4 linked regions of the Macaca fascicularis genome follow. The protein of the gene in region 2 purifies or fractionates together with the protein of the main gene of each other region. This does not show direct contact. Links are inferred from orthologs where the notes say so. Each region holds a gene or a part of one and is shown on either strand. Other genes may lie near its edges.

Region 1 (8,335 bases), on a different chromosome or scaffold from region 2:
TCTCGGCCTCCCAAAGTGCTGGGATTACAGGCTTGAGCCACCGCGCCCGGCCTATTCTCAGAAACTTAAAACTGTTGTAGACAGGATAAAAATTCCACATGTAAGGACAAAACATTACCAACAACACCGTCAAATAATGACCTATCTACAGCTGAGTCTTAGACAAAAAAGCTTGTTGCATCTTCTATACTCTCTGTAACAAATCATTTTTTAAAAATCGGCTTTTTCCCCCTACATATTAAATTACAATTGATATGCACAACCAGTACCCTAAGCCAGAAAAAAAGACACATTTCAACAAAGAAGGCCAAGGAAAGAAAAATGAAGGTAATGGTTTGGCAGGGCTGGCACTCTCCACTAGTGGGGCCTAAACTGGCACAATCCCTCTGTGCAAGGCAATTTAGTTGTATTTATCAGCCTCAAAACACTCATGCCTGCCTGGGAATCTCTGCCAAGGAGAAACAAAGCTTTACATAAAGATACTCATAGCAGCACTATCTATTACAGAAAAAAAAAACCTGGCAATACCTTATATAAAAGGTAAATGATTAAATCATGGAATGCAGTATTATAAACACAGTATTTGTAATAACAGGAAAATTTGAAATGTTAAAACAACAGAAAACTGTTTTACTATATAGCATAACATTTCTTTAAACATGAAGAACTATAAAGTACAGACAGCACTCTTTTGATCCTATTTTCTTTTTAGATCATTTCTATATTAAAGAAAAATATAAACGAATTAACCTGCACTGCACAAATATTACCATTGGAATGGTATTCAAATGTTAATTTCTGAGGGCAAATTCTTTTAAAAAACAAATTTAAGGATTCAATGAGACTCAAGTTAACAGATAACATGACTTCCTCTAATTTACTCAAGTGTATAAACTAGGATATTATGAAATATTTTAAGTATCTGAACTTCAGCCACTGACATTTGCTAATAAAATAATTTATCGAAAAAAAGAATGGGAAAAAAGACCTCCCAGATTTTGCAAAGTGAAATAGCTAATTTCATATACTGGAGAGGGCTTGTGGATTCACAGTCTAAGATCAAGGTCAGGCACCATTCATGTGCTGGCAGGTTAATGTCAGGCTGGAAGCCAGCAAGCTCCATGGAAACCAACTTAAGAGAGTTCACACTGAGGATCAAGTAATGAGTGACTCTAACATGTACACAAAGTAGGCAGACAGTCACTCATTTTTAGTTTTTAAATAAAAGGTAACTTGGAAGATTCATATACTTCAAAGAAAATAGGCTGGGTGCAGTGGCTTATGCCTGTAATCCCTGATCACCTGAGCTCAGGAATTCAAGACCAGCCTGGCCAACATGGCAAAACCCTGTCTCTACTAAAAAAATACAAAAATTAGCCCCGCATGGTGGCAGGTGCCTGTAATCCCAACTACTTGGGAGGCTGAGGCAGGAGAATTGCTTGAACTTGAAAGGCGGAGGTTGCAGTGAGCCTAGATGGTGACACTGCACTCCAACCTGGGTGACAGAGTCAGACTCCATTTCAAAAAAAAAAAAGATCAGGCATGGTGGCTCACGCCTCTAATCCCAGCACTTTGGGAGGCCGAGGCAGGCAGATTACCTGAGGTTGGGAGTTCGAGACCAGCATGACCAACATGGAGAAACCCCACCTCTACTAAAAATACAAAATTAGCTGGGCATGGTGCCACATCTGTAATTCCAGCTACTCGGGAGGCTGAAGACAGGAGAATCGCTTGAACCCAGGAGGCGGAGGTTGCAGTGAGCTGAGATTGTGCCATTGCACTCCAGCATGGGCAACAAAAGCGAAACTCAGTCTCAAAAAAAGAAAGAAAAGAAAAAAGAAAACGATCTTTACACTTGAAATTTTAAGTCCTATAATAACAAGCAGCCTCAGAACCATATAAAACCACCTTCCTCTCATTAAAAAATATCTACCATCCTTTTAAGAGCTACAGCAAAATAGAAACAGTCAGATAATCAAATTCTATTTAGTCACCAAAAGAAGACAAGGCACATGGAAGTTTTTCTAATGAAGGACAGAACATTCTATGAGTTTTTTTTCTTCTACTGAGTCAATATTCCACTTGACAAAAAGTACCTAATTTTTTAACACAACAAAACAAGATATTCACTTGAGTGGATGCATCATGTCCTCTCCTCTTCTTCTGCCATTTCGACTTCGACTCTGATTGCCCATGAAGCCGAACAATCCCCCACCAAAAATGTGAGAGAAAATATCATCCATGCCACCACCTCCGCCGCTGCCTTCCCGAAGACCTTGCTCTCCGTATCTGTCATATAACTCACGCTTCTCAGGATTTGATAGTACTTCATATGCAAAACTTATTTCTTTAAACTATAAAGAAAAGGTAAAAATAAAAATAATTACATTTTCAAATAGAAGAGTGGGGAGAGGCTATAGGAATCCAGAATCCATTTAATTCTAATAAAAGGGACAAGTTACCTTTGACTTGATTCTGCTTCTATTTACCACCCACCACTCCTCAGAATGGTAGTACTCTTATTCTAAAACTAAAATACTCTTTGACATTATGAAAATGTGGCTGTGTGGGCATAGTTGGATTTTTTTCCTGCAACATTCCTTTTTTTCAAGGAGGGCAATTTAAGTTAAAACTAAAACCCCCGGAATAAAAAAATCGCAAATAACTTACTTTGTCTCCTGCATTTGGATTCTTATCAGGATGATATTCCTTGGCTAACTTTCTGTATGCCTTTGAAAATGGACAAAAACAAAGAAGGTTATAACTAAACACCAGTTTAAAGTTTTGTAATAACTTAACATCCACTTTTCTGAAAAGTAATGTTCTAGAGTTATAACCTTCCAAAAATATTTTCTATTCGTATTCTTTGGCACTTCCTCACGATACTGTTTACTAATGTAATATAACCAAGTAGACTGTAGCTATACTTGAAAATAATTACAGTGACGTGAAAACCAGATAAAACAATGAAGCAATACCATAGGGAAAACGTTCAAACATTATCCATATTTTCCCTATCGTCAAGTGTCTGATGGCCAAGTAACCAGACCAAGACCACTCTAATAAATTTGAGATAAATGACTGTCAAGCTTTACGGACTGCAAAACATTACTATAAATCAAGCTAAAGTCACAATTCCTGCTCCCGATGGCTCAGGCCTTCCTTCTAACTGTAACATCATGAAAAAGTCAAGGTGGTCCCAGGTAGTGTCTTTAGGTGTTTTATTTGCACGTGGTGGTTAACTGGGGTCGTGGTGGCAACTTCGGTGGTAGTGAAGTTGCACACTCTCAACGAGGTGTTTGGGTCATACAGCACTTAAATCTTCATTTACGGAGGCTCGTGAATTATATAATACAGACTAGCATTTCCGGTAAGGTAACAGGAAGTCCACTGCACTCTTCTCACTGCCTAAGGAGCATTCTCATTTTTCTCGGCTTACAAATCCGGATGCTCTTAGCCCGGTGAGGATGCTGTGGGGCTTAAACGCCTCGTGTGCTTTGAAATCCTGAGATGAAAGATATCGCAGCATTGCAAACAGCGATAATAAGGCCTTCTATTCATGTTTATTGCACACTCAGGCGTTTGGCTGGGACCACGGCTTATTCCTAAGCAGGTACAGGACATTAGCATTACCTGACCACAGAACAATGCATCCAAACACAGACCCACGCTACCTCCGGGTCAATGGGCGAGGGAGGAAGAGAGGGAGGAGCTCCCGCAGCCCGCAGCCGGGGATCCCAGGAAACAACCCCATCTGCCCGAGGCGCTCTGTGGGGGCGGCCTCGACCTCCCCGCCGGACCTCCCCGCCGTTTTTCCCCGCGGAGCACCAGACCCGGGGCCGACGGCCGCGGGGTGGACAGCTTCTCTCCCGGGGCCGGGATGCGCTGAGCACCTCGGTCCAACCTGTTTTTCCGGGGTGGTGACCTCGACGCGGAGAGCCGGGCGAGCTGCTGCCTCCTGGGGGAGACCGGCCACCGGCGCTCGCCCGAGGAGGGAGGAAGGGCTACCGTCGTGTTTGCGCAGGAGTGAGTTTTATTTGCTGCATCTGCGGGCGGGCGGGGCCGGCGGCCCAAGGTCAGCCGAGGCCGGAGGGCGCGGCTCGCCGCGAGGCCGGTCCCGCCGCTGCCGCCGCCGATCCCCAGCCCGGGCCCGTCACGGCCGGCGCCGGCTCGCGGGCCGCCCAGTAGCGCGGCCTGGCTGAAGAAGACATCCCCGGCCGCGCAGGCCCCGCGCCCCTCACACCCGCCCGCCCGGCCCGCTCCCGGATACCTTCTTCAGCTCGTTCTCGCTGGCGCCGGGCGGGACGCCCAGGATGTCGTACAGCTTCGTGTCAGCCACGTTAGCCATGGCGGCCGGCCGGGCAGTGCTCAGGAAGAAGGTGGCGGAGCAGACAGAGGAGCCGGGCCCACAAGCGGCGTCGGCAGCGGATCAGGCCGAGGGAGACAGCGAGGGGGAAGCGGGGGCGGGGCTGAACTTTGACCGGGCGCACGGTGCGCCGTGACGTCGCAGTGCGGAGCCCGCCCCCGAGCGCCCGAGGCGCGGCCACTGGGTCGGGGTGGTGAAGAGTGTGGCTGGTTCTCTGATCTCCTCTGGGTCCAGGCTGCTGTGCTGGGCCGACGTAGGAAATGAACTCTACACGGCGCACCCCAGGAATTCAGCTTCCTCTCAAAGGCCATGGTTGCGACGTCGCGTGTTTAACCTCGCACTGGGTACTGAGGGGATTAACAGGCCTACGCGGCAGCTTCGTTAGCTTCGAGTCGGTCGGGAAAGGAAGTGGGCCCCGGCTCCTGCAGGAGGCCAGCCTGGCGCGCAGAAATCGTTCTCAGAATCCAGGACGTCGGTGGACCCTCTGGGTCTGGCTCCCTCGGGGCTTACGATGAAAAAAACTGGGGAGCGTGTGTGTGTGTATGTTGTGTTTTATGTTATGGGAATAATGAAACATTCAACAAAAGCAGTCTATTACACCCCGTAGTGCAGTTAGCTACATTTTACCAATTTTGTTTCATTCGCTCCCCTATACATCTCTGGTGTTTTCAGGGAAACCGTTTCATTCATAAATACCCTGAGTGTATATATTTAAGACAACTTTTAAAAGCATGACGACGTAATCTCATCTAATGAAATTAACAATTCCTTAATCTAATTCCCAGTCTATATTTAGGTTTTTCAAATGATCGCATGGCCTTTTACAATTGGTTTGTGGCATTCCAGTCCAAACCAAGGTCCACGTGTTGCTTCTGGACCACGTGTTTAAGCCTCTTGATAGCTTTAAAATTAGCTAATACCAGAGGTTTAGATGGTGTAAGGCAACTCTGGCCACCAGGTGACTTGATTTACATTCGTTTTAGTTTCGCTCAGAAAGTGAATGCTGTGCATCTACCACGTGCTATGATGTACAGAGGCCTGGTCCGGAGAGAGGAGTGTTACAAAAGTGCCTGCCTTCAACCCATTTACGGTTTACGGAGACAGAAAAGTAAGATTTTATGATCCCTTGGAACCTGAACTGATAGCAAAGACTTCAGTATAAGCATCTTACTCAGGATAATGTTTCTTCCTTGGCGTTCCCCTTGACCTAGTTGTGGAGGGCCTGAATGCCATGACAAGGTCTCTGAAATTTAGCCCGAAAACCCTAAGAGTAATCAGTGATAAGTCATTGATAGTCCTTAAACCCTTTTCCTCAAATCCCATCTGAAATCCTGCTCCCTCTGTGAAGTCTTCCTTGACTGGACACTGGTGAACACTGCTGTCTCATTCGAGTTCCCACCACCCTTCGTTTGTACCTTTTGTGGTACAAAAAATGTGCAACAATGTGGTAGGATCCCGAACTCTTTTTTTTTTTTTTGAGACAGTGTCGTTCTGTCCCTCAGGCTGGAGTGCAGTGGCGCGATCTCAGCTCACTGCAACCTCCACCTCTCGGGTTCAAGTGATTCTCCCACCTTAGCGTCTCGAGTAGCTGGGATTACAAGCGCCCATCACCATGCCTGGCTAATTTTTGTATTTTTGGTAGAGGTGGAGTTTCACCATGTTGACCAGGCTGGTCTCGAACTCCTGATCTCAAATGAACCAGCCATCTTGGCCTCCCAAAGTGCTGGAATTGCAGGCCTGAGCCACTGCCTCTGCCAACCACGATTGCCGTGTAAATGCTGACATCCTCCTCATGCATGGCTGTGAAATCCAATTCTCTACTTTTCACATTTTGAGATGTTCATAAGAAAAGGTGTAAAGTTGTGGCGAAGTTAGATTGTGTCGGTTGGTAGTCTGACTCTGTCATTTAGGAACAATGTGACCTTCAACAAGTTAACTTTTCTGAGGTGGTTTCCTCAGGTGTAAGATGGGGCTTATTATTTTTTATATCATTGGTTTAAAAGAGTTAATACATTTCTGTTACTTAGGGCTGGGCGCTGTGGTCTGTAATCCCAGAACTTTGGGAGGCTGAGGTGGATGGATCACTTGAGGTCAGGAGTTTGAGACCAGCCTGGCCAACGTGGCAAGACCACCTCTCTACTAAAAATACAAAAATTAGCTGGGGGTGGTTGCACACCCCTGTAGTCCCAGCTACTCGGGAGGCTGAGGTGGGAGAATCCCCTGAGCCCAGGAGGTGGAGGTTGCAGTGAGCCAAGATCATACTACTGCACTCCAACCTGGGTGACAGAGTGCAACCCTGTCTCAAAATAATAAATAACTAAAATTTTAAAAATTACTTAGAAGCTAAAACAAATTAAGTATTAACTATTGTTTTTGGCCTATTTGCTTACATTGTCTTTACTCATTTAAATTTCTGGCTTTTCTACTGGGATTCCCTGACTTCCTCCATTACCTATGGGAAACGCCCGTCTGTCCCTTTTCATGACCTCGTCTTCCCAGATCTCCTTGCTTGTCAGTCTCATTTCTCTGTTAGTTCCTGCTCCACGTGAGAATATGAACTGAAAATCTGTCTTTATTGCAACCTTCATATTAATTTATCTTTTTTATTTCATATTGTTTTATCTTATTAGCCTTCTGCCCGTGAACAGTTTAAAAGGGCTGGAGTTTCCTATTTGTTTCAGTTTTACTCAGTTTTTTTTTTTTTTTTCCAAGGGGAAAAAATTCTCTCTTGATGCCATTTTAGCTTCTGATATTGTAATGAAGAGTAGCTGGGTAAATTCCCTCTTTTGTTCTTGTTATTATTATTATTATTATTTTTTTACCTGACTAGACCAGTAACCACAGTAACTATTTTTGAATTTCATTTTCATTTCTTTGCAATATTTTCTCCACTTCTGCGTATTAATTGTAGTCAGCATAATTTGCTAATTTTATGGCTTGAGTTATTTCAGAAGAACTTTGTGTGTTTAAACTGACACAGGCTCTTCTCCCAAGAATCAGAGACTGAAGTAAACCTGTGTCACTGTAATGTTTCAGCCACTAACTGTTTTGAGATAGCATATTTATTTTGGCTTCATATTTAGCCAATGCTATGAAGGGAAAAGGACCTTTATATCATTTCAGGTCTCAGGCACTGTAAAATGCTGAGTCACAGTACACCTGAGCGCTGCAATGATCTCAAGTTTGAGGCGGCAGTGATTTCAGATTTCTGCCAGGTTTATATTGGTGTTCAATTCCTTTACTTTGATTTAGTATGCTTGTGTAACTGTGAGGGGTTGGGGTGGAGAGGAGGTGGATATGGACTGGGGCAGGGGGAGGAGGTGGATATGGAATGGGGCAGGGAGTATAGGAACTGTAGTATTTTTGAAGACCATTCATACTGTTCACAAGTAATTGGGAACTGTGTAATCCATTACTTAGACAACTCTAGATATATCATTCAGGCAGTTCAGAAAGTGGTTTTGCTTTCTGCCTTTAACTAGGTTTGACTGTATAGAGTAAGTGATGCAGGTTAAAATATTTTGGCGGAATACAGAAGAAGGTACTGATGGTTCTTGTTATGAGGGTGTCAGGACCACGTCATTTGATGATTGTTAGTGCTCTGGAAAGAAAAAATTGTGGGCTGGGCGTGGTGGCCCAAGCCTGTAATCCCAGCACTTTGGGAGGCCTAGACGGGCGTATCACAAGGTCAGGAGCCGAGACCATCCTGGCTAACATGGTGAAACCCCGTCTCTACTAAAAAATACAAAAAAAAAAAACCCCAAAAACCAAAAAAAAACTAGCCGGGCGAGGTGGCAGGTGCCTGTAGTCCCAGCTACTCGGGAGGCTGAGGCAGGAGAATGGCGTAAACCCGGGAGTCGGAGTTTGCAGTGAGCCGAGATCCGGCCACTGCACTGTAGCCTGGGCGACAGAGCGAGACTCCATCTCAAAAAAAAGAAAAAAAAAAAAAAAAAAGAAAAAAAAATTGTG
Region 2 (7,775 bases):
CCTGTAATCCCAGCTACTCAGGAGGCTGAGCCATGAGAATTGCTTGAACCTGGGAGGCAGAGGCTGCAGTGAGCCAAGATGGCGCCACTGTACTCCAGTCTGAGCAACAGAGCGATACTGTCTCAAAAATAAATAAATAAATAAAAATGAAACTATAGGCTGGGCACGGTGGCTCACGCCTGTAGTCCCAGCACTTTGGGAGGCCGAGACAGGTTGGTCACAAGGTCAGGAGATGGAGACCATCCTGGCTAACACGGTGAAACCTCGTCTCTACTAAAAATATAAAAAATTAGCTGGGCATGGTGGCGGGTGCCTGTAGTCCCAGCTACTCGGCAGGCTGAGGCAGGAGAATGGTGTGAACCCGGGAGGCAGAACTTGCAGTGAGCTGAGATCACGCCACTGCACTCCAGCCTGGGCAACAAAGTGAGACTCTGTCTCAAAAAAAAAAGAAACTATAAATAAATGCAAGGAAATATTATCACAAAAGTCAGCATAGTGGTAGTATCTGGAGGGAGCTGTATATATGGGCCTTCGGGGGTACTCATAATTTCTATTAACCTGGATGGCAGGTACATGGTTGGGACCTGTATAATTTTTCAACTACACAAATACATTATATGTACCTTTTTATATGTATATTTAATAATTTTCAAAAAAATTTAAATCCTTCTGAATTAGCATAACACCAGTTTTACAGAAAAGGAAAGAAAAATTATATAAAGTATCCAAGGTTAATATCATAGCTGTAAGTGACTGAATCAAAACTTGAACCCAAATTTGCTACATCTCAAAGCCTATGCTTCTTCCTCTACATTAAGCAACTTCCATACTATCAACTTGCTACTACCTATGCAACTATTAAGGGCTGGAATTTTGTGATTTAGGAAGAAATCACCTATCTTGGCTAATAAAAAACATTCAAATGTAAAGGTACTAATCAGCTGGCAACAGGACCAGTGCTACTGTTTTTCCAGTGTTAATGATGTTCCTCTTACAGTAACTTTTCATACTTGAAAATACCTGGCCATGATTAAAGGTCTAGCTTTTCTCAAGCTAATTGTCCTGTAACAGAATCAAACCAAGTAAATGAAGCTACATTTCATTAGCATCTGGCACTAAACAAATGAGCTAATGATACCAAGATTTTTAGTTTCTTCATTTACATGTAAGCACTACCAAAATGCAATGGAGATAATTCAAAATTTAAAAACCCTGGAGTTCAAACCACTTATAAGCTGTTTTGACTTTCAGCAAATAATTTTTTTTTTTTTTTTTGAGATAGAGTCTCACTCTTACTGCCCAGGCTGGAGTGCAATGGTGTGATCTTGGCTCACCACGACCTCCGCCTGCCAGGTTCAAGTGATTTTCCTGCCTTAGCCTCTTGAGTAGCTGGGATTCAGACATTTGCCACCATGCCTGGCTAATATTTTAACTTTTTTTTTTTTAGTAGAGATGGGTTTTCTCCATATTGGTCAGGCCAGTCTCTAACTCCCGACCTCAGGTGATCCCCCTGCCTCAACCTCCCAAAGTGCTGGGATTACAGGCATGAGCCACCGCACCCAGCCAACAATCTTATATTTTGAGCCAGATTTCTAACTCACAAAATGAATATATTACCTACCACATACATGGATGGATACAGTGGTTGTCAGAGTTAAATGAGATAATACATGACAAAATTGCTAGATCACTGCAGTATGTTTCATAGATGTTCAATAAATGTTAATTCCTTTCCTTTATTCTAGGACTAAGAAAGCAAAAACAAATTGAGACGCAAAAAGACAGCTAGAAAAATTAAAAGTAAGTAGAAGAGTCTTTAAGAATAATAGTTTTCTAAGTAACAATAATTTAGTGGAAAAAAAGATTTCCCTCCATTATAGCAACAACAAATATAAACAAATTTCAGCTCTCAATTGTATTTGCTCCATATTATTTTGATGAAGATGAGAATTGTAAAGTTATTAAAGGGTAGCATTACCTCAGAGATCCTAGAGGGACTGAAGTTAAACAGCACTTGACGATCTGTTAAGCTTACTATGCCAAACCATTTTTTTCAAATTATAAAACAGTTGAGCAATGTATCATGGTTCAGGCATTGCAAACCAGGTATTTTACCTCTTGGATTTAGGAGGCTGTCTCTTCTCTATGATTTCACGGAGTCTTGCAGCAGACTGTAAAGTATAAAAATCATGTAAAAATGTTTTAACTACATATCTTACCTTTAAAAATATTAGGTATCTGCTACTATACCCACGTTAAACTAAGGTCTATTCAGGAACTAAAGATCCTAAAGATAGGCCATAAGTCATGATCAGCGTTTCTGTACTCCAGCCTGGGCAACACAGCGAGACCCTGTCTCAAAAAAAAAAAAAAAAAAAAGGCCAGGCGCAGTGGCTCAAGCCTGTAATCCTAGCACTTTGGGAGGCCGAGACGAGCGGATCACGAGGTCAGGAGATCGAGACCATCCTGGCTACCATGGTGAAACCCCGTCTCTACTAAAAAATACAAAAAACGGCCGGGCGCGGTGGCTCAAGCCTGTAATCCCAGCACTTTGGGAGGCCGAGACGGGCGGATCACGAGGTCAGGAGATCGAGACCATCCTGGCTAACACAATGAAACCCCGTCTCCACTAAAAATACAAAAAAATTAGCCGGGCATGGTGGCGGCGCCTGTAGTCCCAGCTACTCGGGAGGCTGAGGCAGGAGAATGGCGGGAACCCGGGAGGCGGAGCTTGCAGTGAAGCCGAGATCGCGCCACTGCACTCCAGCCTGGGCGACAGAGCGAGACTCCGCCTCAAAAAAAAAAAAAAAAAAATACAAAAAACTAGCCGGGCAAGGTGGTGGGCGTCTGTAGTCCCAACTACTTGGGAGGCTGAGGGAGGAGAACGGCGTAAACCCGGGAGGCGGAGCTTGCAGTGAGCTGAGATCTGGCCACTGCACTCCAACCTGGGCGACAGAGCGAGACTCCATCTCAAAAAATAAAAATTAAAAAAAAAAAAGGCCAGGCGTGGTGGATCACACCTGTAATCCCAGCACTTTGGGAGGCCAAGGCGAGTAGATCACTGGAGGTCAGCAGTTCAAGACCAGACTGACCAACATGGTGAAACCCCATCCCTACTAAAAATACAAAAATTACCCAGGCATGGTGGCAGGCGCCTGTAATCCCAGCTACTCAGGAAGCTGAGGCATGAGAATCGCTTGAACCCGGGAGGCGGAGGTTGCAGTGAGCCGAGATCACGTCACTGCACTCCAGCCTGGGCAACAAGAGCAAAACTTTGCCTCCAAAAAAAAAAAAAAAAAAAAAGGACAAAAAAAAATGCCTTCGAATCAATGGAATACAGTAACCTCTTCCTATTAAGTGCAAAACCTGCTCCTATTTTAGCCTTCCTCATCTGACACTATGAAACCTGGTATGTTATTGACCTTCTGGTGGGAGTTATGACATCTTGGGTTTTATTGCTCTTGTTGTTGTTTTGAGACAGGGTCTTGCTCTGTTGCCTAGGCTGGAATGCAGTGGCACGATCGTAGCTCACAGCAGCCTCGACTTTCTAAGCTCAAGCCATACTTCCACCTCAGCCACCCCAGTAGCTACGACTCCAGGCATGCATCACTATGCTCAACTAATTTACTTTTTATAGAGGTGGGGGATGGTCTCCGTATGTTACCCAGGTTGATCTCCCACCTCCACCTCCCCAAGTGACAGGATTACAGGCGTGAACCACTGCTCCTGGCCCAGCATCTTGGTTTTAAATACAGACTCCACACAAACCTCAGACAACTGAAGAGAAGCAAAAAAGTCTGCATTTTCTGATATGTTCTTCAGTCTCTTCCTTTCGTAGGGTGACAATCCCGAAAAATCATCCTATAAAATTTACCAAAAAGATTCCATTACTTTATATAATCTATAGGAAAAGCACTTCACAAAACTATGTGTTTCATTTTCTACATGAATACTTTACTTCAAATTGTACTACCTCTATTCATTTCATGCCATCTAACCAAAACAGACGTTTGCTGAATTGGATATTTCAGTAAATCTGAATTTGGGATACTCACAGAGTATCTGTATGGCTTCCCAGTTAAGAAGTGATCTGTTATTAGAAATCAAGTAGTATAATCTAGTAGCAAATTATTTCCTAGTGGCAATTAATTGTACTATTACTCAAAAGTTATTTTTGGCCAGGCATGGTGGCTCACGCCTGTAATCCCACCAATTTGGGAGGCTGAAGCAGGTGGATCACCTGAGGTCAGGAGGTCAACACCAGCCTGGCCAAAATGGTGAAATCCCGTCTCTACTAAAAATATAAAAATTGGTCAGATGTGGCGGCTCATATCTGTAATCCCAGCACTTTGGGAAGCCAAGGCAGGCAGATTACCCGAAGTCAGGAGTTCAAGACCAGCCTGGCCAACATGGTGAAATCCTGTCTCTACTAAAAATGCAAAAAAAAAAAAAAAAAAAAATTAGCCAGGTGTAGTGGCAGGTGCCTGTAATCCCAGCTACTCTGGAGGCAGGGGCAGGAGAATCACTTGAACCCAGGCGGCGGGGGTTGCAGTGAGCCGAGATCATGCCATCGCACTCTAGCCTGGACAACAAAAGCGAAAACGCCGTCTCCAAAAAAAAAAAAAAAAGTTATTTTTATCAAACAAAAAAACTTTCTTTAAATGCAGTAGAGTAAGTACATGTCTCTACTTTCTCCTAAAGAGCCACTAATGTAACAGTAAGCTAATGTTTTTTTAAACCCTGAGATATAAGACAGTATATTCAGGAAATAGCAAAATACTATAAGAAAATTCAAAAAATAAGAACAGAAGTTTTTAAATCCATTAAAAGCCTTAAATTTAGAAAGTAGAACAAAAAGATAAACACATGGACAGAAAAGACAAAAAACAGACTCAATCTTAGAGGTCCAATATCCAATTCATTGTTTGAGAAACTGCAGAGAAATTGGAAGAGAATCAATCATTAAAAAATAATAAAGGCCGGGCGCGGTGGCTCACGCCTGTAATCCCAGCACTTTGGGAGCCCGAGGTGGGCGGATCACAAGGTTAGGAGTTCGAGACCACCCTGGCTAACAAGGTGAAACCCTGTCTACTAAAAATACAAAAAATTAGCTGGGAGTGGTGGCGGGCGCCTGTAGTCCCAGCTACTCAGGAGGCTGAAGCAGGAGAATGGCGTGAACCTGGAAGGTGGAGCTTGCAGTGAGCCGAGATGGCTCCATTGTACTCCTGCCTGAATGACAGAGCAAGACTCCGTCTCAAAAAAAATAAATAATAATAATAATATAAATGGGAGGCCGGGTATAGTGGCTCAAGCCTGTAATCCTAGCACTTTGAGAGGCCGAGGCGGGCAGATCACCAGGTCAGGAGATCAGGACCATCCTGGCCAACATGGCAAAACTCCATCTCTACTAAAAATACAAAAATTGGCCGGGCATGGCGGCACGCGCCTGTGGTACCAGCTACTCGGGAGGCTGAGACAGGAGAATTGCTTGAACCCGGGAGATGGAGGTTGCAGTGAACGGAGGTTATGCCACAGGACTCCAGCCCGGGCAGCGACAGAGCAAGACTCTGTCTCAAAAAAAAAAAAAAAAAGAAAAAGAAAAGACAGAAAGAAAAATAATGTAAGTGGGAGACTGAAGCAGAAGGATCACTTGAGCCCAGAAGTTCAAGGTTTCAGTAAGCTATGATGACACCACGATATTCTAGCCTGGGCAACAGAGCGAGACCCCCATCTCTAAAAAATAATAGTCTGAAAACAAAAATATTATTTTAAAGTTTCTCAAAACTAAAGACATGAGCTTCCAGTTACAAAAAGCCCAATGAGTATACAGCATAATGAATGAAAAAGGACTCAGGCAAGCAGGCTCAGTGGCTCACGCGTGTAATCCCAGCACTTTGGGAGGCCACCAGGCAGATCACTAGAGGCCAGGAATGGGAGACCAGCCTGGCCAACATGGTGAAACCCGTCTCTATTAAAAATACAAAAAAAAACTAGCTGGGCGTGGTAGTGCACACCTGTAATCCCAGCTACTTAGGAGGCTGAGGCACGAGAATTGCTTGAACCTAGGAGGCAGTGGTTGCAAAACCGAGATCACACCACTGCATTCTAGCTGCCAGGGCAAGAGCAAGACTGCCTCAAAAAAAAAAAAAAAAAAAAAAAAAAAGCAGGCCGGGTACGATGGCTCATGCCTGTAATCCCAGCACTTTGGGAGGCTGAAGTGGGCAGATCACCTGAGGTCAGGAGTTCGAGACACCCTAGCCCACATGGTGAAACCTCATCTCTACTAAAAATACAAAAATTAGCTGGCCGTGGTGGCATGTGCCTGTAGTCCAAGCTACTCAGGAAGCTGAGACAGGAGAATCGCTTGAACCTAGAAGGCAGAGGTTGCAATGAGGCAAGATTGTGCCACTGCACTCCAGCCTAGGCGACTGGGTGAGACCCCGTCTCAAGAAAACAAAACAAAACAAAGAAGAACCCAGGCCTCGGTATATCATCACAATTTTTTTTTTTTTTTTTTAAAGAGATGGACTCTCACTCTGTCACCCAGGCTAAAGTGCATTGGCTTGATTAAAACTTACTGCAGCCTTGCACTCCTGGGCTCCAGCCTTAGCCTCCCAAGTAGCTGAAACTACAGGCCTGCGTTACTACACCCAGCCAGAAAAGATCTTAAAAGCATGCAGAGGGAAAAAAAGATCACAAAGAATCCAGAATCAGAATGGCACAAACTTTCAACATTGAAGGAAGTGGGAAGACAATGGAACAATGCGTTAAAAATTCTAAGGAAAGATTATTTTCAACTTACAATTCTAAATCCAATTAGGTCATCAATCAAACATAAAGCTAAAGACTTTTTCTGGGCTGAGCGCAGTGGCTCACGCCTATAATCCTAGCACTTTGGGAGACTGAAGCGGGCAGATCACGAGGTCAGGAGTTCGAGACCAGCCCGGCCAACATGGTGACACCCCCGTCTCCATTAAAAATACAAAAAGCTACAATGAGCCGAGATCGCACCACTACATTCCAGCCTGGGTGACAGAATGAGACTCCATCTCAAAAAAAAAAATAAAGACTTTTTCTGACATGCAAAATATTTGCCTCTTATATACTTTTTCTCAGAAAGCTGCACTTCACCAAAATGAAAGAATAAACCAAGAAAGAAAGACATGGCATGCACGGTGGCTCACGCCTGTAATCCCAGCACTGTGAGAGGCTGAGGCAGGCGGATCACTTGAGGTCAGGAGTTCAAAACCAGCCTGGCCAACATTGAGAAACCCCTTCTCCACTAAAAATACAAAAATTAGCCAGGCATGTTGGCGCACGCCTGTAATCCCAGCTACTCGGGACGCTGATTTGGGAGAACTGCTTGAACCTGGGAGGTGAAGGTTGCAGTGAGCTGAGATCATGCCACTGCACTCCATCCTGGGTGACAGAGCAAGACCCCATCTCAAAAAATTTTTTTTAAAAAAGTATCTTGGCTGGGCACGGTGGCTCACACCTGTAATCCCAGCACTTTGGGAGGCTGAGGTGGGCAGATTGCTGGAGCCCAGGAGTTTGAGACCAGCCTGGGCAATAAACATGGCACACCAACATCTCTAAAAAAAAAAAAAAAAAAAGTCAAAATTAGCCGGACAAGGTGGCACATGCCTGTAGTCTCAGCTATTTGGAAGGCTTTATATATATATATATTTTTTTTTTAAAAAAACAAGAGTCTTGCTCTGTCACCCAGCCTGGAGTGCAGTGACTTGATCTTGGCTCACTGCACCCTCCACCACCCA
Region 3 (7,775 bases), on a different chromosome or scaffold from region 2:
TTTAATTTCTATCAAATATCATTCTAGTCACTCTGTACCCATTAATTCTCACAATATCTTTATTAAATTGGTATGTTTATTCTCATTTTACAACTATGGAAACTGAGGTTCAGAGGGAAGAGGTAACTTGCTCAGAGCATCAAGACAATGGTGAGAGAACCCATCATTAAATCCAGGACCATCTGAGTACACTTTGAGGCTTCTGTTATCAAAAGGGGTTGGCCTCAATTCAACAACTATTTGTCAACGATATCTCCATTCCTGGCCCTGGTTTGGGTTTAGGAATGCAATGATGAATACACAGTTCTTGCCTACAGCGACATTATACTGCAGTAGAGGAAACACAAATAGAAATATATTTTCAAAACAATGTGGTTGGCAGGAGAGGTAAATACAATCTATTATGCAAGTATTGAGAGGGAAGGCAAGCCCAGAATAGGGCCTAGGAAGGTTTGCTGTGGAGCATGATGCTCTACACTGAATCTTAGGAAAGAGTAAGAAGTAGTGGAAGACTATTTATTCTAGGTAAGAAACATAAACATGAACAGCATAAACAGGCATGTGAGCAAGTGGATGTTTTTAGCAAATCAAAAGAAGCTGAGCATCCACGTATGCTCTAGTTCAAGTTGAGAAGTAGCAGGAGCTGGGGTGCTTGCCTATATTCCAGAGATGATAACACCAAAGCGTTACAAGGTCAGGTTTGTGTTTAAAAAAAAGCAGCCATGTGAAGGCTGGATTGGAGGGTATAGTATAGAGAAGCTTTTAGGAGTCTTAGTTGTTAACTATGTTGTTCTCAGCAACAATTTCCCAGAAGAGACCATTGTTTTGCTCATAGAGAACTATTAACTTGCCATTCCCACCAAGTGCAAATTGTCATGTACTGAATGAGGACAGAGCAGGATACACTGCCCTTGACACTGGCCAGCACCATGCAGACATAAATACAGTAGCTCTTCTGAAGAAATAAAGATGGACGCACTGTCAGCAGAAATCACAAATTTATTAACTCTTAAATATATCAATCAGTCATTTACCATTATGGCAAGAAATATATACAGTGTCCCATGGTAAACTGCAGTGTTTCAAAATGATAGAAGATAATAAATGTGTAGTTCATTTGTGGTGGAGAGAACAAATCACAATTTCCTCACATCTTAGTGCGGAAGACAAACTTGATCTACAGTAATACTTCAACACCACATGCTAAAAGTGTAAAAAAAAAACACTCTACACCTATTTTTTTCTTTAAATACATGTATGCCACATATAGCTGCTTCACAAAAGGGTAAAAGAAATTAAAAAGGGAAAAATGAGGCCATTATTTTTTTCACAGATCTCATTGGCAGGTTAACATGGCTCAATATATTGACTGTATATATTTATTTTAAATATATATTGTTTTAAATTGTGTAATAATTATCAGAAAAGCTTCAACCCATCTACCATACATCCACTAGCAATAATATCTAAGATGATTAGTAATCAACACAGAAAGGTCAGATGAGAGAAAAGACGAAGGGTTGTTTTTGCTGCTTTGTTTTCCTTTTTTGCTTCTGCTTTAAAAACAGGCTTCTGAGGACTGTGAATTACTACCGTTAAAATAACAATGATGGAGATTCCATGCACTGTAAAGCATTTCAGAGAAGAGAACAAAAAAATCACAGGAATTCAATCAACAAAGGAAAAATGAGAAGCACAAAGAAAACCTAGGACATTTCCCTTTTTGTTTTAAACTGGAAAATCCTAACTCCTTGGAGGAAGATAACGATACTCTGATTCAAGAGAGAAGCTAAAAAACACAAGTCACAAAGATCAAGTTCAAAACACGTATGAGAATGGCAAACATTTGTAAGCCTCTCTAACGCTAGAAAACTAGCTAGTGATGATGCAGAAGTGACCCTTTCATTCCCCAAGGCGGAGGTGAGTGCGTTTGCATAACACCCCCTCTGCTATCAACTTGGTATCCTCCTGGCAACTGTCCCAATCAGTAAGACGTTGCAGTCACAGGAGGAACTTGCTTTTATCCTAAGTTTAAACAATTCAAATACCTCCAACATAGTTAGGATACCTAAGTCCAAAGTAGAGCTTAAGCAGAATTATAAACCTTTAAAATCTTGACAACATTTTTGTGGGCCCTGAAGATGATCAAAAGTGCTAGTTAAGCCACCTTCAAAAGGCTTTTATTTCCTTTTTACCTTCATTATGCAAATTTCACTTTTTTTCTTTTCTCACACACTACTAGCCGGCCTCCTCAAAAAAGGAAAAGGGAAGAAAGTTAGAAAAGAATGGAACAAAAGAAAAATAAAAAAGGAAGCAAACGAAAGGAACAAAGAAACAGGATAAAGAAAAGAGATCACAGATTCGAGAAAGAAAAACAATTCAATTCAGCAAATTCACCAAAACAATGTGAATATATCCTAAAGTGATTAAACTCAGAAATGATGTGAATTTTTCCAGTTTACACAGTTTGACCAAAAAGAGCATGGCTTTATGTGGTAGCAAACCAACTGATTCTTGCTTCTACTTTCATAAGTGATTTTGCCCACATATCAACCCACTTTAATTGCTAATCAGCAAAACTTCCCATGAAAAATCATCCATTTTAACCAGGATCACACCAGGAAACTGAAGGTATATGTTTTTACCTTAAAAAAAACAAAAACAAAAACAAAAAAACCCAAAAAAACCAAACAAGCCAAAACAGATTAACAGCAAAGAGTTCTAAAAAATTTACATTTCTCTTACAAACTGTCATTCAGAGAACAATAGTTCTTAAGTCTGTTAAATCTTGGCATTAACAGAGAAACTTGATGAAGAGTTGTACTTGGAATATTGTGGATTTTTTCTTTTTGTCTAATCTCCCCCTATTGTTTTGCCAACAGTAATTTAAGTTTGCACGGAACATCCCCGTAGTTGAAGTGTAAACAATGTATAGGAAGGAATATATGATAAGATGATGCATCACATATGCATTACATGTAGGACCTTCACAACTTCATGCACTCAGAAACATGCATGAAGAGGAGGAGAGGACGGCCCAGGGTCACCATCCAGGTGCCTTGAGAACAGAGAATGCAGAAGTGGCACTGTTGATATTTAGCTGAAAGGAGAAAGGGAGAGGAAGAAATAAATTATATTGTTTTACAAAATATCATCAAATTGCTTTGCCATAGATTTGACTATGCTACAGTTTTATAACTTGGCTAACAAATAGATTGAGAACACTATGTATAAGAGATGTTTGCTTGTGATCATTACAGGAAGAAACACACAATGTTACACAAAGACAGTATTAAAATAGAAAATGAGTATTAATTATTTTTTCACACAAAGCTAAGCTAAAAATAAAGAGACAGGGACCCAGGCTTCAGTCACGTTATTAAATCTAAGTATACATCTTAAGCATTCCTGTTTACTGGACAAATTAGTAAATGAATATAATCTTTTTGCTGAAATAGACTTAAAATTCAAGTTCATCCTTAGTTTTTGTTATTATTATTAGATTCCTTGGGAAATTAAACCTAGAAGTCAATTTAACAAGGAATATAGTCTCAAAAGTAGAGAGAACATGATTACTCTCTTTAATTGGAGCTCTCCTTTGCTGAAAGCAACAGCTGGGAGCACTATTTGTTAAAAGCTCTGATAAGGTTTAGTTCTCTGAATGAGGCAAATATTCACAACAGCACCATACATATCTGAATACTTGTAACCCAAGTCTAAGAAACAACTAATTAAAAACAACAATAAAAGCATGAAGTTAATTACAGTCAACTTTCAATTATCCTCTGGAATTACCCACTTTGTGAGTTTTAAATTTCAGCTTGACTCCTCCTGTGGCCTGTGCTCATGGTCAAGCACCATTATACTCAGTCAGGCACAGCAAATTGATTTACACATTCACCATAGCCAGCTGCTTATAGAATTGCAACCTCTTGAAAGAATGGTTAAGACACCAGAGGATTCTAAAGCTTAATATAAATTAAGTAAGGATAATTGAGAGTTATCTGAACTGACCTAGACATAATTTACTTTTGATGTGAAAACTTCAGGATTCTAACATGACATAATCCACATGTTGGAAAAAATTCATTTCAATGTTTATTACCTTTAAAATAAGGATTATGCTACCAAATAGGGCTGAATGTTAGATTCAAAAGCTCATGCAAAATTGCTATGAATTTTCAAAGACCGTGTATGTTTTTCATTGAATATTATGCAAGAAAAAATATCCTCAAAAGGAAGGAAAACAGCCATGCAGCTTTTCATTCAGCTCCAATCACAAAGTATCACGGAGCAGGATGTTACTTACAAGACCCATATGTGAATGATTTTCAGGCCTTAGATGTTTTGCCACAAAGAGGTGCCTCCTGAGAAGTTTTCTTTCCCATTTGGAATACAGGGTGGCCTATTAAGAGAAGCCCCATTTAAGCCACCTGGCATAAAATGAAGTTTTCTTGAATAGGCTTCATCCCATAAACACTTCAGGGAATTGTAAAAAAACCTAACCCTCTGGTACTGTATGAATGTAACCCCTTCTATATTAACTGGTGATTTGTGCTGTACCTCTTTGGGGTAAAAAACACACAAAAACAGGTGTCTTCATTATCTTCATATTCCTCTTGTGTTTTTCTCTTAATTACATAGCTATGGTTTTGGGAATAAATTTCAGCCTATCGTTTGGTTTTGTTTTTTTTTTTGTCCCTGTTGACCCACTTTTTACAAATCCAACAGTGATATATAAGTAGTAAGTCTATACAGAAGGCCTCTGAAAACCACTGTGGTATGTTATCAAACTAAGAAATCATGATGGATTCTCTGGAGTGAGTTGAATGGCTGTTTGTATGAACCCCCATTCCAAATCCCAAATATTAACAGGTGATCCTGGTGAGATAATTCGGAAAGAGATCAACAGTGGACCAATCTTCTACACTGAGTTTAAACGCTTCTTGTTTTCTTATCACTCCACTTTACTAATAAACCTATTTTCAATTATTCCTCTTTACTCTAGTTGTAACCGGCATTCCTTACCAATAATGTTCTCTCATATTAAACTAAATCCTGATATTGTACTTTTCTTCACGATGCTCCTTTAGCCTGGACTATTCTCCTTTGTTTTTTCTATCTTTCTATGTCTCTAAATTCTACTCATCATTTAAGATTTTGTCCAAAATTCTATCTTATACACAAAGTGTACTTCCAAACTGTTATAAACAGTTTACTACACTGTTCATGAATTTTACTGTATTCTTAAGTTGATGATAAAGTTTATTATATCATTTTTTTCTTTAGAATCAATGATTGACTAAATGAGAATGCATGTTCCTTGAAAGCAATATCTTTTACCTTGTGTTGAATCTGGCGCAGGTTAAGCACCTAGGAGATTCACAATAAATATGTGCCTAATCGCTGACTGGAAAAGCAAATGATATCTGAGGTAGAGTGGTGAGGTGAGAACGACATTGCACTACCTGACAATGGCCTTTTAAAAGGGTCTCTGTAACTGAGCTTTAGGGGATCGTCCATGAAATGAAACTCCTGATAATATATTGGCCATTTTAGAAACTCCACCCTATGCTTTCCTCTGATATCCCCTTCTGTCAATTGAGAAAATGAAGTCACAAATATTTTGCCTTATTATACAAATCCCCTAGATTTAACACTGTGAGATTTTGATATGGTAGTCTCTAGTCCTATCCAAACCTATTGTATACTGCTCTATAGCAAGTTTCAACCCACAGATGGCTGATCTGATTGATCTTTCCAGAGAATCATAAACCTTTCCCGTGAAGTCATTTATTTTCATCAGTGTAACCAACTACTAGCATTAAATAACATATACCACGCTATTAACAATGGAATAAGTAGAAGAAGCTGACCATGGGTGTATTAACAAAGAAGCTGACAGCCTGGGAATATTTACTTGATGGGTACTGTTGGTGACCCCGAGCGATGAAAATGAACATTCTGCCACTTTCCATCCCGACGGTGCCACACACGAGTCTCTTCTGACTGCATTGTCTTTGGCATTCCACTGCCATCCATGTACTGTGTGAGCCTAATATACGCTATGCAGGCGGCATCATCCCCTACCAGGTGTACATGAGGGTTTAGAATAATAGTGTGGATTGGTTTATTGCTTTTGGACAAAGCTGAAAGAGAAAAACATGAAAAGCAAAATTTAGTTTCTATGTAAAGGAAACTAAAACCAGTAATAACTTCAGTTAGGACCAATACATGAAATGCCATTTATTCAGTCAGTAATTAATTAGTTAATTAATCTACTATTTATACTAATCTGGTACTGGGCACTGTACAAAGCAAGGAAAGAACAAAAGTGGACGTAGTCTTTCTTTTATCTGGTTTCCTTCACAGGCACTTATATGCTCCTCTGGAAATACTGATCGGGTGAGAAAGCTGGAGAGATATATTTATTTACGAAGGAAAGTGGTTAGAAACAGAAATCACAACGTGAACAGAGGTGAAGAAGGCCTGGTCCAGGTGTGCCAAGCAGTTCCTGTCTTTTCCAGGAATGAACTGCTGGGACAGTTGACCAGGGATCTTGCGGTGGTGTTTGTTTTTGTTAGTTGGTGAAGTATGTGGGAGAAGGGCAATATATCAAGTTTCAGGTATGGATATCACTGTCTCCAAAATAAGGCTGGCGGTAGCCTTTGAACAAGCCTATGAACTTGTTTCTCATCTCATCCTCTGACTCCTCCACATACTAGAGTCTATTCCATGATAGTCCACTGTGATCATTTGATAAACATTCAAAATGTGGTGTTGGCACACAGCCTGATTCTGATCTTCTAGCTCTTTCCCTTGCTTGAGTAGCCCTCACTATGCTCCAGACTCTGGTGTTTTAACAGTAGCTACCAATTCTAATTATTCAATTACCAAGAGATATGAGGAGGACTAGGGCACATCACTTACTGATGCTGTTCCTTTCTTAGATCACTAGAAAACATTGAATTGTTTTTAGCTGTTATCCAAACATGCTTTCCATTCTCAGAAAACATCTATTCAAATTATACAAAATATTATTATAGTCACCTGAATACCCCATTATGAAGGAATTACATTTATGGAACATGATGTATAGTGTTATGCTGAAATAGGTTAAAATATTAATGGGTTAATTCTTTCATTAGGGATCAGACGATGTCAACAGAGAGTTAGTTGGAGGAAACATGAGATGCTATCAGAACACTGGAATATAGGGAATATGATAACATTTACTGAAACTTTGAGAGAGAATTTATCAAATGGTTCTTTTTGTTTATTTGTTTGTAAATGCCTGATGCATATAAGAAAAAGTAACTCATTCAACACATCTTACTTCGAAAATCCATGCCAAAGCAGACATTCTTATCAAAGCTTATAATTACTGAAAGTGATGTGATTATCCCAATTATTCCTATAATACATTTCTTCTTTAATTCAATAAGATCTCTGCAAAAATAGTACATTCACTTAATGCAATATGCAAACACAGCATAATGTCTAATGTCATTAGGTGTAAGGAAAAAGAGAAGGATAAAGGGAATTCCTGGTTTACATTTTTCTTGATGACCTGAAGGATTTCTGCAGGATGAACTTCTTTTGTCACCTTCTTTGAAAAGTGGTGGTTTCCTCTGAAACTACCACAATTCTTAAAATTTGAATTGAAAGATTTATCTGATTACTCAACTTGATTTTCATTTTACTTTGAAAATAAGCATCACATATGCTTGAAAGCACTCTTCTATGTTGAATATTTTGGCATGGTGTGGTTTTTA
Region 4 (7,775 bases), on a different chromosome or scaffold from region 2:
GAAGCTTACCCAAGACACACTTTCTCCATATGGCACAGCTTTTTTGTACTTAGAAACACTAGACAGCACTTTGGTATACTTGGGGGCCATTTTAACAGCAAAATCACCAGGAAAAGCACACAAAAATGCAAAAATCATGGTGCTAAATGAAGACCATGAGGACATATGCTTGACATACATACAGTAGCAACCCATGTTTGAGCTGAGCTTGGAACATATGTATTGGAAGACTAAAATTATTTGCTGCTCTGAACATAAGCATGTCCAAAAATGACCATGACGGTGTTAGGAATCTTGACTCTGGGGTTACAAATAAATTTAAGTGAGTTGGCAAATTCACAAACATAGAATCCTTGAATAATGAAGAATGACTGTTCTTTATCTCCTTGCATCAGCCTATTTATGTAAAATGGGGGAGAAAAGTACCTCTACCTAATAAGAACTGTTGTGAGAGAGAGAAAACAGGCTGGGCGTGGTGGCTCATGCCTGTAATCCCAGCACTTTGGGAGGCCGAGGCGGGTGGATCACGAGCCAGACCATCCTGGCTAACACGGTGAAACCCCGTCTCTACTAAAAATACAAAAAATTAGCCGGGCGTGGTGGCGGGCGCCTGTAGTCCCAGCTACTTGGGAGGCTGAGACGGGAGAATGGCGTGAACCCAGGAGGCGAAGCTTGCAGTGAGATGAGGCGACAGAGCGAGACTCCATCTCAAAAAAAAAAAAACCAAAAAAAATTAAAGTTAAACAGATGATCAAAAAAGTCAGAAGAATACAAAAGTATTTCTTCAATATTTAAATGACATAAAAAATATTCTGGCTGGTTATATTACCTTTTTAACTTTTAAAGACTCCTTTTTTCTCTCCAATTTTTCTTTCTTCTTCTGTTCCTGTAAGATAATTTTTTCTTATGTCACAAGTGGGAAGTGCACCATTAAAAAAAAAAAAACGCATATCAATTATCAAATAACTTATGTTTACAATGAGAAACTAAGGTCTATCATAATTAAAAAACAGGGAGGAACTTGTACTTCAACAAGCCTTTATGGACTAATGGGACAGATTTACCATCCTGCCTTAAACTAAAATCCAGATAAAATTTATTAAACAGTGGTTTTCAGACAACATGCAGTAACGAACTATAAACATTGACAAAAGGGAAACAAGGTTAATCTTCTGACTGCCCAGCTTACTGCCTGATACAATTTTTTTTTTTTTTTTTTTTTTTTTTGAGACAGAGTCTCGCTCTGCCGCCCAGGCTGGAGTGCAGTGGCTGGATCTCAGCTCACTGCAAGCTCCGCCTCCCGGGTTCACGCCATTCTCCTGCCTCAGCCTCCCCAGTAGCTGGGACTACAGGCGCCCACCACCTCGCCCGGCTAGTTTTTTGTATTTTTTAGTAGAGACGGGGTTTCACCGTGTCAGCCAGGATGGTCTCGATCTCCTGACCTCGTGATCCGCCCGCCTCGGCCTCCCAAAGTGCTGGGATTACAGGCTTGAGCCACCGCGCCCAGCCGATACAATTTTAAAGTACAAATAATGGAGAAAACTCCAAACAGAGCCCAACAGTCTCTTTGTGTTGAGGAGACAGAACCCAAAACTTAAAAAACAAAAAACTTAAAAAACAAAGCAGTAGCATTCCCAGGGTCAAGTACCAGAGAGGACAGAGCTGCACAAAGGCAGCTGTTACCTCTCTCTCAGGCTGACTACTGTTACCTCTCTCTCGGGCTGACTACTGGTAAGTGCATGGTAACCAAGGCCAGGAGAAAAGTCACCAGAAAGAAGTAGGTGGAAAGGCTCATGTTCCAAGGGGTCAGGCATAATAAGGTATACCTCACATTCTCTCAGCCAAAGTGGAAAGTCCTCTTAATATAAAGGGCATCAAGTAGAGTGCTCAAGAAAGGGATCAACTTATTCCTAGACTAAAAGCTATTCTAGACATACTCTTACAAATGTTTAAAAGACACCAAAAATTCAAACCATTTCCAAGAGGTGATGAAAGGGGTAGATGCTGTGTAACTCATTAAGTTGAATATTTGTTTTTCCATTTGTTTTACTTTATCATAAAAAAGCAATAAAAGGGTTTCAAACAAAGGAAAAAGGAGATTTTATAAACACAGCAAAATTTAAACTGATAATTGGTAAATGTGGGTGATGGGAACACAGGGACTTACTGTATTCTCTCAATTTGCACAAGTTTTTAAATCTTCATAACAGTCTAGTAGAAAGACAAACAATAAATACAAAAAAAGATGTATATCAGATGAAAAGTGCAATGGGAAGAACAGAACAAGGTAAAGAGAATCAGGTGTGTCAGCAACTTTCTTAAAATTGTGAGGGCAGGTCTCATCTAGAAACCATTTAAGTCAAGGCTTGAAGATGAAGTTAAGCCATGCAGTTATTTAGAGGAAGAAGGTTCCAGGCATAAAATAGCAAGGGCAAAAGCCCAAGACAGGAAACACATCTGGAGACAGGTCTGAAAGGTAATGGGATTGAGGGAGGCAATCCAACTGCTTACAGACATATAGATATTATCAGGACTTTCACTTTTCAGAAACAACATAAGCTAGGAGACAGTGAAACATCTTTAAAGTACTCTAAGAAATAAAGTACTAAAGAAAAACAATTCTTTACCAGTAAAAATGTATTTCAAAAACGAAGGTAAGTGAAGACATTCAGATATATGAAAGCTAAAAGAACACATCACCAACAGAAAATGCAAATGAACCTATAATAATAGAAAACCGATCAATTGGCTATCTGTGGATAGAACATGGGGTAGGGATGGGAAAGAAGAATTATAAATGAGCCGAAAGAATTCTTTGGAATCAGTGGGTATGTCCACTATCATGACTGTTATGTCTTCACAAGTATATCCCTATATCAAAACTTAGGGAATTGTACATTTTAAATATGTGCAGTTTAGTGTATGTCAATTACACTCCAATAACAACATTTCTTAATGGAATCCTTCTCAGGAATAAAAAGAATAACCTACAGAAAAACATGACATGAATTAATCTCAAAAATACACTGAGCAAAAGTAACAAGACAAAGAATGCATATGTGCAAGAATATTGAGAAAAAAAAAAACTCAGTTTCTCCCTACACACTCAACAATCAACACAAAAGACTTCTGTGACCCAATGTGTGGGGGTTTTCCCTATACACCAAAAAGCATTTCTGCAGTGACACCGACTAGGTGTCCTCTATTGTAATTAAATTCTTTTTTTTTTTTTTTTTTTTTTTTTTTTGAGACGGAGTCTCGCTCTGTCGCCCAGGCTGGAGTGCAGTGGCCGGATCTTGGCTCACTGCAAGCTCTGCCTCCCGGGTTTACGCCATTCTCCTGCCTCAGCCTCCCGAGTAGCTGGGACTACAGGCGCCCGCCACCTCGCCCGGCTAGTTTTTTGTATTTTTTAGTAGAGATGGGGTTTCACCGTGTTAGCCAGGATGGTCTCGATCTCCTGACCTCGTGATCCGCCCGTCTCGGCCTCCCAAAGTGCTGGGATTACAGGCTTGAGCCACCGCGCCCGGCCTATGTAATTAAATTCTGACACTATCTACCGGGTGACAGCACCATACCCCATAGGTTGAGGGTTCAGTCCCCAAGACTTTACCTACCAGTTCCAGATGCCAATCACAAGGCCCAAGTCACTTTACCTATGCTTCTGACTGAACAGCTATAAATCAGGGTTCCCACAAGCCCCTCTTTGGGTTTGACTAATTTGCTAGAGGAGCTTACAGAACTCAAAGAAACACTAAAGTTTATTGGTTTATTATAAAGAATATGATAGTCCGGGCGCAGTGGCTCACACATGTAATCCCAGCACTTTGGGAGGCCAGGGTAAGCAGACCACTTGAGCCCAGGAGTTCTAGACAAGCCTTGGCAACACGGCAAAACTGTGTCTCTACCAAAAATACAAAAATAAGACAGACATGATGGTGTGCTCCAGTGGTGCAATCTCGGCTCACTGCAACCTCCGCCTCCCAGGTTCAAGCGATCCTCCTGCCTCAGCCTCCCAAGTAGCTGGGGTCACAGGCACACACCACCATGACCGGCTAATTTTCATATTTTTGGCAGAGATGGGTTTTCACTACGTTACTCAGGCTGGTGTCGAACTCCTGGGCTCAAGTGATCCACCTACCATGGCCTCCCAAAGTGCTGGGATCACAGGCGTAAGCCACAGCCCCCAGCCTGTTGTGTTTTATTTTTGAGACAGGGTCTTGCTCTGTCACCCAGGCTAGAATGCAGTGGTGCCATCACAGCTCATTGCAGCCTCAATCTCCTTGGCTCAAGCCTCCTCCTGCCTCAGCCTCCCAAGTAGCTGGGACTAGAGGCACATGCCACCTTACCTAGCTAATCTGTCTATCAGAGATAGGGTTTTGTCATGTTACCCAGGCTGGTCTCAAACTTCCGGGCTCAAGAAATCCACCCACCTAGGCTTCCCAAAGTGCTGGGATTACAGACATGAGCCACGCCCAGCCCTTTTGGGTTTTTAATGAAGGCTTCATAACATAGACATGATTGATTCAATCATGACCACTGGTGAACAACTTAACTTTCAGTCCCCCTTTTTTCCCTCAAGGTTGAGGGTGAGGCTAAATCCCAACCCTCTAATCCAGGCTTTGTCTTTCATAGGCTTCCATCCTGAAGCTACCTAAGGGCTGCTAGCCACTGATCATTAGCATTAAAAAAAAAAAAAAAAAAAAAAAACACAACATTGAAGATTCCAAGGATTTTAAGAGTTGTATACCAGCAAATGGTGATGAAGACCAACTATTTACTCACAAAAGCACAATACCATGATTTCATTTATACAATTTTCTAGGAAAAAACAATACTGGTCTATAGTGACAGAAAGCACTGTGGTTGCTGGACACCAGCCATTGGGATCACTGTCAGCACAAGACAATTTTTTGGAGTTCATGGAAATGCACTGTGTCTTGATTGTGCTGGTGGTTACACAGATCTATATATTTACTAGTCAAACTCAGCAAACTGTACACTTAAAATCTGTATATTTTAGTGTATATAATGTACACTTCAATAAAGCTATTTTTAAATTTTTTTAAGCTTTCACTTATAGTCAGTTACATATACATACCTCTAATTGTTGCTGTTCCATTTTCGTCAACAAAAATTTGGAGTAGATATTGCTTTTTTCAAGCAAATGTTGAAGTCTACGGTACCGAATTTCTGTCGACTCTCTATCCCAAGACATGCGAGCCTATCCAAAGAGAAAACTTCCATAATTATGAACACTTTCTGACATACATTGATTTATTTTGGCATAAAGTTTAATAAAAATGGCTAAAGTAACATTTTTTAAACCAAACACTTTTTCAAACCAAAAACTGGAATAACTGTTAAAAAGAAAAGTTTTTGGGTTCAACAGGTAATCTGATAGATGCAGTTTGTATATCAAAATATTATAATTTCAAATATTGAACACATGGTTTCTGGCATCTACTGAGTTGGAAGGTCTATTTAAAAAACAACTGATGGCCGGGTCCGGTGGCTCACTGGCACACACCTGTAATCCCAGCACTTTGGGAGGCCAAAGCGGGAAGATCACCTGAGGTCGAGAGTTCGAGACCAGTCGGACCAACATGGAGAAACTCCGTCCCGACTAAAAATACAAAATTAGCCAGGCATAGTGGCGCATGCCTGTAATCCCAGCTATTTGGGAGGCTGAGGTAGGAGAATCACTTGAACCCGGGGAGGGGGCAGAGGTTGCAGTACGCCGAGATCACACCACTGCACTCCAAACAAGAGCAAAACTCTATATCAATTAAAAAAAAAAAAAAATTGGGGCGAGGCACGGTGGCTCACACCTGTAATCCCAGCACTTTGGGAGGCCGAAGAGCATGGATCACCTGAAGTTAGTAGTTTGAGACCAGTCTGGCCAAAATGGTGAAACCCCATCTCTACTAAAAATATAAAAATTAGCTGGACGTGGTGGCACATGCCTGTAGTCCCAGGTACTCAGGAGGCTGAGGCAGGAGAATTGCTTAAACCCAGGAAGCCGATGTTGCAGTGAGCTGAGATGATACCACCGCGCTCCAGCCTGGGTGAAAGAGGCGCCATTTCAAAAAAAAACGTAGCCATTTGCAATCTTAAGTGTGTAATTTGCTAAAACACTGATGTTGTGGTTCCGTGTTATTACATTACCTTGTTACGTACAGAGAAGGGAAATTTTTGATTAATTTTTGATTAATTTTTATGAGGGTCAACCTCATAAAAAGTAACTGCCTAGGTGACACTAGGAAATTCTAAGACAAGTTTTCAGAGTCTCTCCCTGTTTGAGATGAATAAACAAGTTTATCTGGATAGAACATTTTAGAAAAATACTATGAACACAATTCATCCTAACAATCAAAACAGACATCTAGCCAAGATTAACATCCGCACCCCATTTTTTAAGGCAGGGTCTCATGCTGTAAATGGTGCAACTGCAGCTTACTGAAGCCTTGAAATCCCAGGATCAAAGGACCCTCCCACCTCAGCCTCCAAAGTAGCTGGGACTCTAGGCAGATGCCACCATGCCCTGTTAATTTTTGTATTTTTTTTTTTTGTAGAGGCAGGGTTTCGCTTTATTGCTAAGGCAGGTCTCCAACTCCTAAACTCAAGAGATGATTCATCTGCCTTGTCCTCCTAAAGTACTGGGATTATAGGCATGTGCCACCATGCCCAACCAAGATTACCAATTCTGTAACATCAATCCAGCCTAGTAAATCAACAAACATGTACTGCAACAATTATATAAATTACATAACTGGTAGAAGACAGAAAGTCTGATTTATACAACAAATGAGGCATTAATATATCTGAAAACAACAAGTATTAAAGACAGATACACATAGCAGCAAACTGTACAATACTATCTAAATCCTGGAAAAGTCTAAGAATCACTAAGATCAGAGAAGTCAGATTTCAGGAAATAGATAACATCTGAGGGGTCTGAAGGATTAGATAAATGAGAGCAGAAGAACTCAAGTTTTGTCAATTACTGTAGAAGTTCCTGAATTCAGCAACATTGGCCTCAGCAACAGCACTAAAAATCACACTTAACTTTAGAATTAAAAATACTTTCAGAGATTACATAGTAGATATCTTTCATTTTATACAGTCTAGACAAACTCTTAAAAGAGTTTAGTGGCAGATTTTTTAGTATTTTGTTTTCTCAACTAAACCAACTCCCCTACTTTTCAACAAGGATTAATGAAAACACAAAGTCAACCAATAAAATCTAACTGCCCCTTTCCCCAGTAATTGGTGGTTTCAACTTAGAGAAAAGTAACTGAGCATTTACAGAGTGTTTGAAATGCGGGATATAAGCTCATTTTTATACTCTAAATGATGCCCTAGCACTTCGGTAGTTTTGCTGCTCCAGCTTGTCAATATCTCTAAGATATCATTTTATATTGCCTTACATTTTCCTTCTGCCCAGGCTGGAGTGCAGTGGCGCAATCTTGGCTGGCCCCCGCCTCCGCCCCCGCCCCCACCTCCGCCCGGGTTCAAGCAATTCTCTGCCTCAGCCTCCCTAGTAAAGCTGGGATTGCAGGCGCCTGCCACCATGCGCAGCTAATTTTTGTATGTGCCGGTGCCTGGCCAGCACATATTTTTAAAATAACTAGATACAGCCAGGCACGGTGGCTCACGCCTGTAATCCCAGCACTTTGGGAAGTCGAGGCAGGCACATCACGAGGTCAGGAGTTTGCGACCAGGCTGGTCAGTATGTTGAAACCTCGTCTCTACTAAAAATACAAAAAAAATTAGCC

The links.
Region 1: the proteins of WDR76 (region 2) and DNAJA2 purify together in Homo sapiens (affinity purification with mass spectrometry; 3 studies listed by BioGRID and IntAct, with this or other methods). This does not show direct contact. The link is inferred for Macaca fascicularis from reciprocal best matches to the Homo sapiens genes WDR76 and DNAJA2.
Region 3: the proteins of WDR76 (region 2) and CAMK2D purify together in Homo sapiens (affinity purification with mass spectrometry; 3 studies listed by BioGRID and IntAct, counting the BioPlex papers as one, with this or other methods). This does not show direct contact. The link is inferred for Macaca fascicularis from reciprocal best matches to the Homo sapiens genes WDR76 and CAMK2D.
Region 4: the proteins of WDR76 (region 2) and HELLS purify together in Homo sapiens (affinity purification with mass spectrometry; 4 studies listed by BioGRID and IntAct, counting the BioPlex papers as one, with this or other methods). This does not show direct contact. The link is inferred for Macaca fascicularis from reciprocal best matches to the Homo sapiens genes WDR76 and HELLS.

Annotation. Positions count from the first base shown.
Region 1 is NC_088394.1:42,896,926-42,905,260, forward strand, and holds the start of DNAJA2 (dnaJ homolog subfamily A member 2), read right to left. Parts: upstream 4,449-8,335; 5' UTR 4,349-4,448; coding exon 4,271-4,348; intron 2,731-4,270; coding exon 2,671-2,730; intron 2,355-2,670; coding exon 2,131-2,354; intron 1-2,130. UniProt on the Homo sapiens protein: Co-chaperone of Hsc70. Stimulates ATP hydrolysis and the folding of unfolded proteins mediated by HSPA1A/B (in vitro).
Region 2 is NC_088381.1:20,417,960-20,425,734, reverse strand, and holds part of WDR76 (WD repeat-containing protein 76), read right to left. Parts: intron 3,862-7,775; coding exon 3,769-3,861; intron 2,172-3,768; coding exon 2,116-2,171; intron 1-2,115. UniProt on the Homo sapiens protein: Specifically binds 5-hydroxymethylcytosine (5hmC), suggesting that it acts as a specific reader of 5hmC.
Region 3 is NC_088379.1:118,987,836-118,995,610, forward strand, and holds the end of CAMK2D (calcium/calmodulin-dependent protein kinase type II subunit delta), read right to left. Parts: intron 6,150-7,775; coding exon 5,921-6,149; coding exon of another isoform or gene 5,917-5,920; exon of another isoform or gene 5,877-5,916; intron 4,406-5,876; coding exon 4,339-4,405; 3' UTR 4,310-4,338; intron 3,101-4,309; coding exon of another isoform or gene 3,097-3,100; 3' UTR 980-3,096; downstream 1-979. UniProt on the Homo sapiens protein: Calcium/calmodulin-dependent protein kinase involved in the regulation of Ca(2+) homeostatis and excitation-contraction coupling (ECC) in heart by targeting ion channels, transporters and accessory proteins involved in Ca(2+) influx into the myocyte, Ca(2+) release from the sarcoplasmic reticulum (SR), SR Ca(2+) uptake and Na(+) and K(+) channel transport.
Region 4 is NC_088383.1:103,329,237-103,337,011, reverse strand, and holds part of HELLS (lymphoid-specific helicase), read right to left. Parts: intron 5,222-7,775; coding exon 5,099-5,221; intron 887-5,098; coding exon 830-886; intron 1-829. UniProt on the Homo sapiens protein: Plays an essential role in normal development and survival. Involved in regulation of the expansion or survival of lymphoid cells. Required for de novo or maintenance DNA methylation. May control silencing of the imprinted CDKN1C gene through DNA methylation.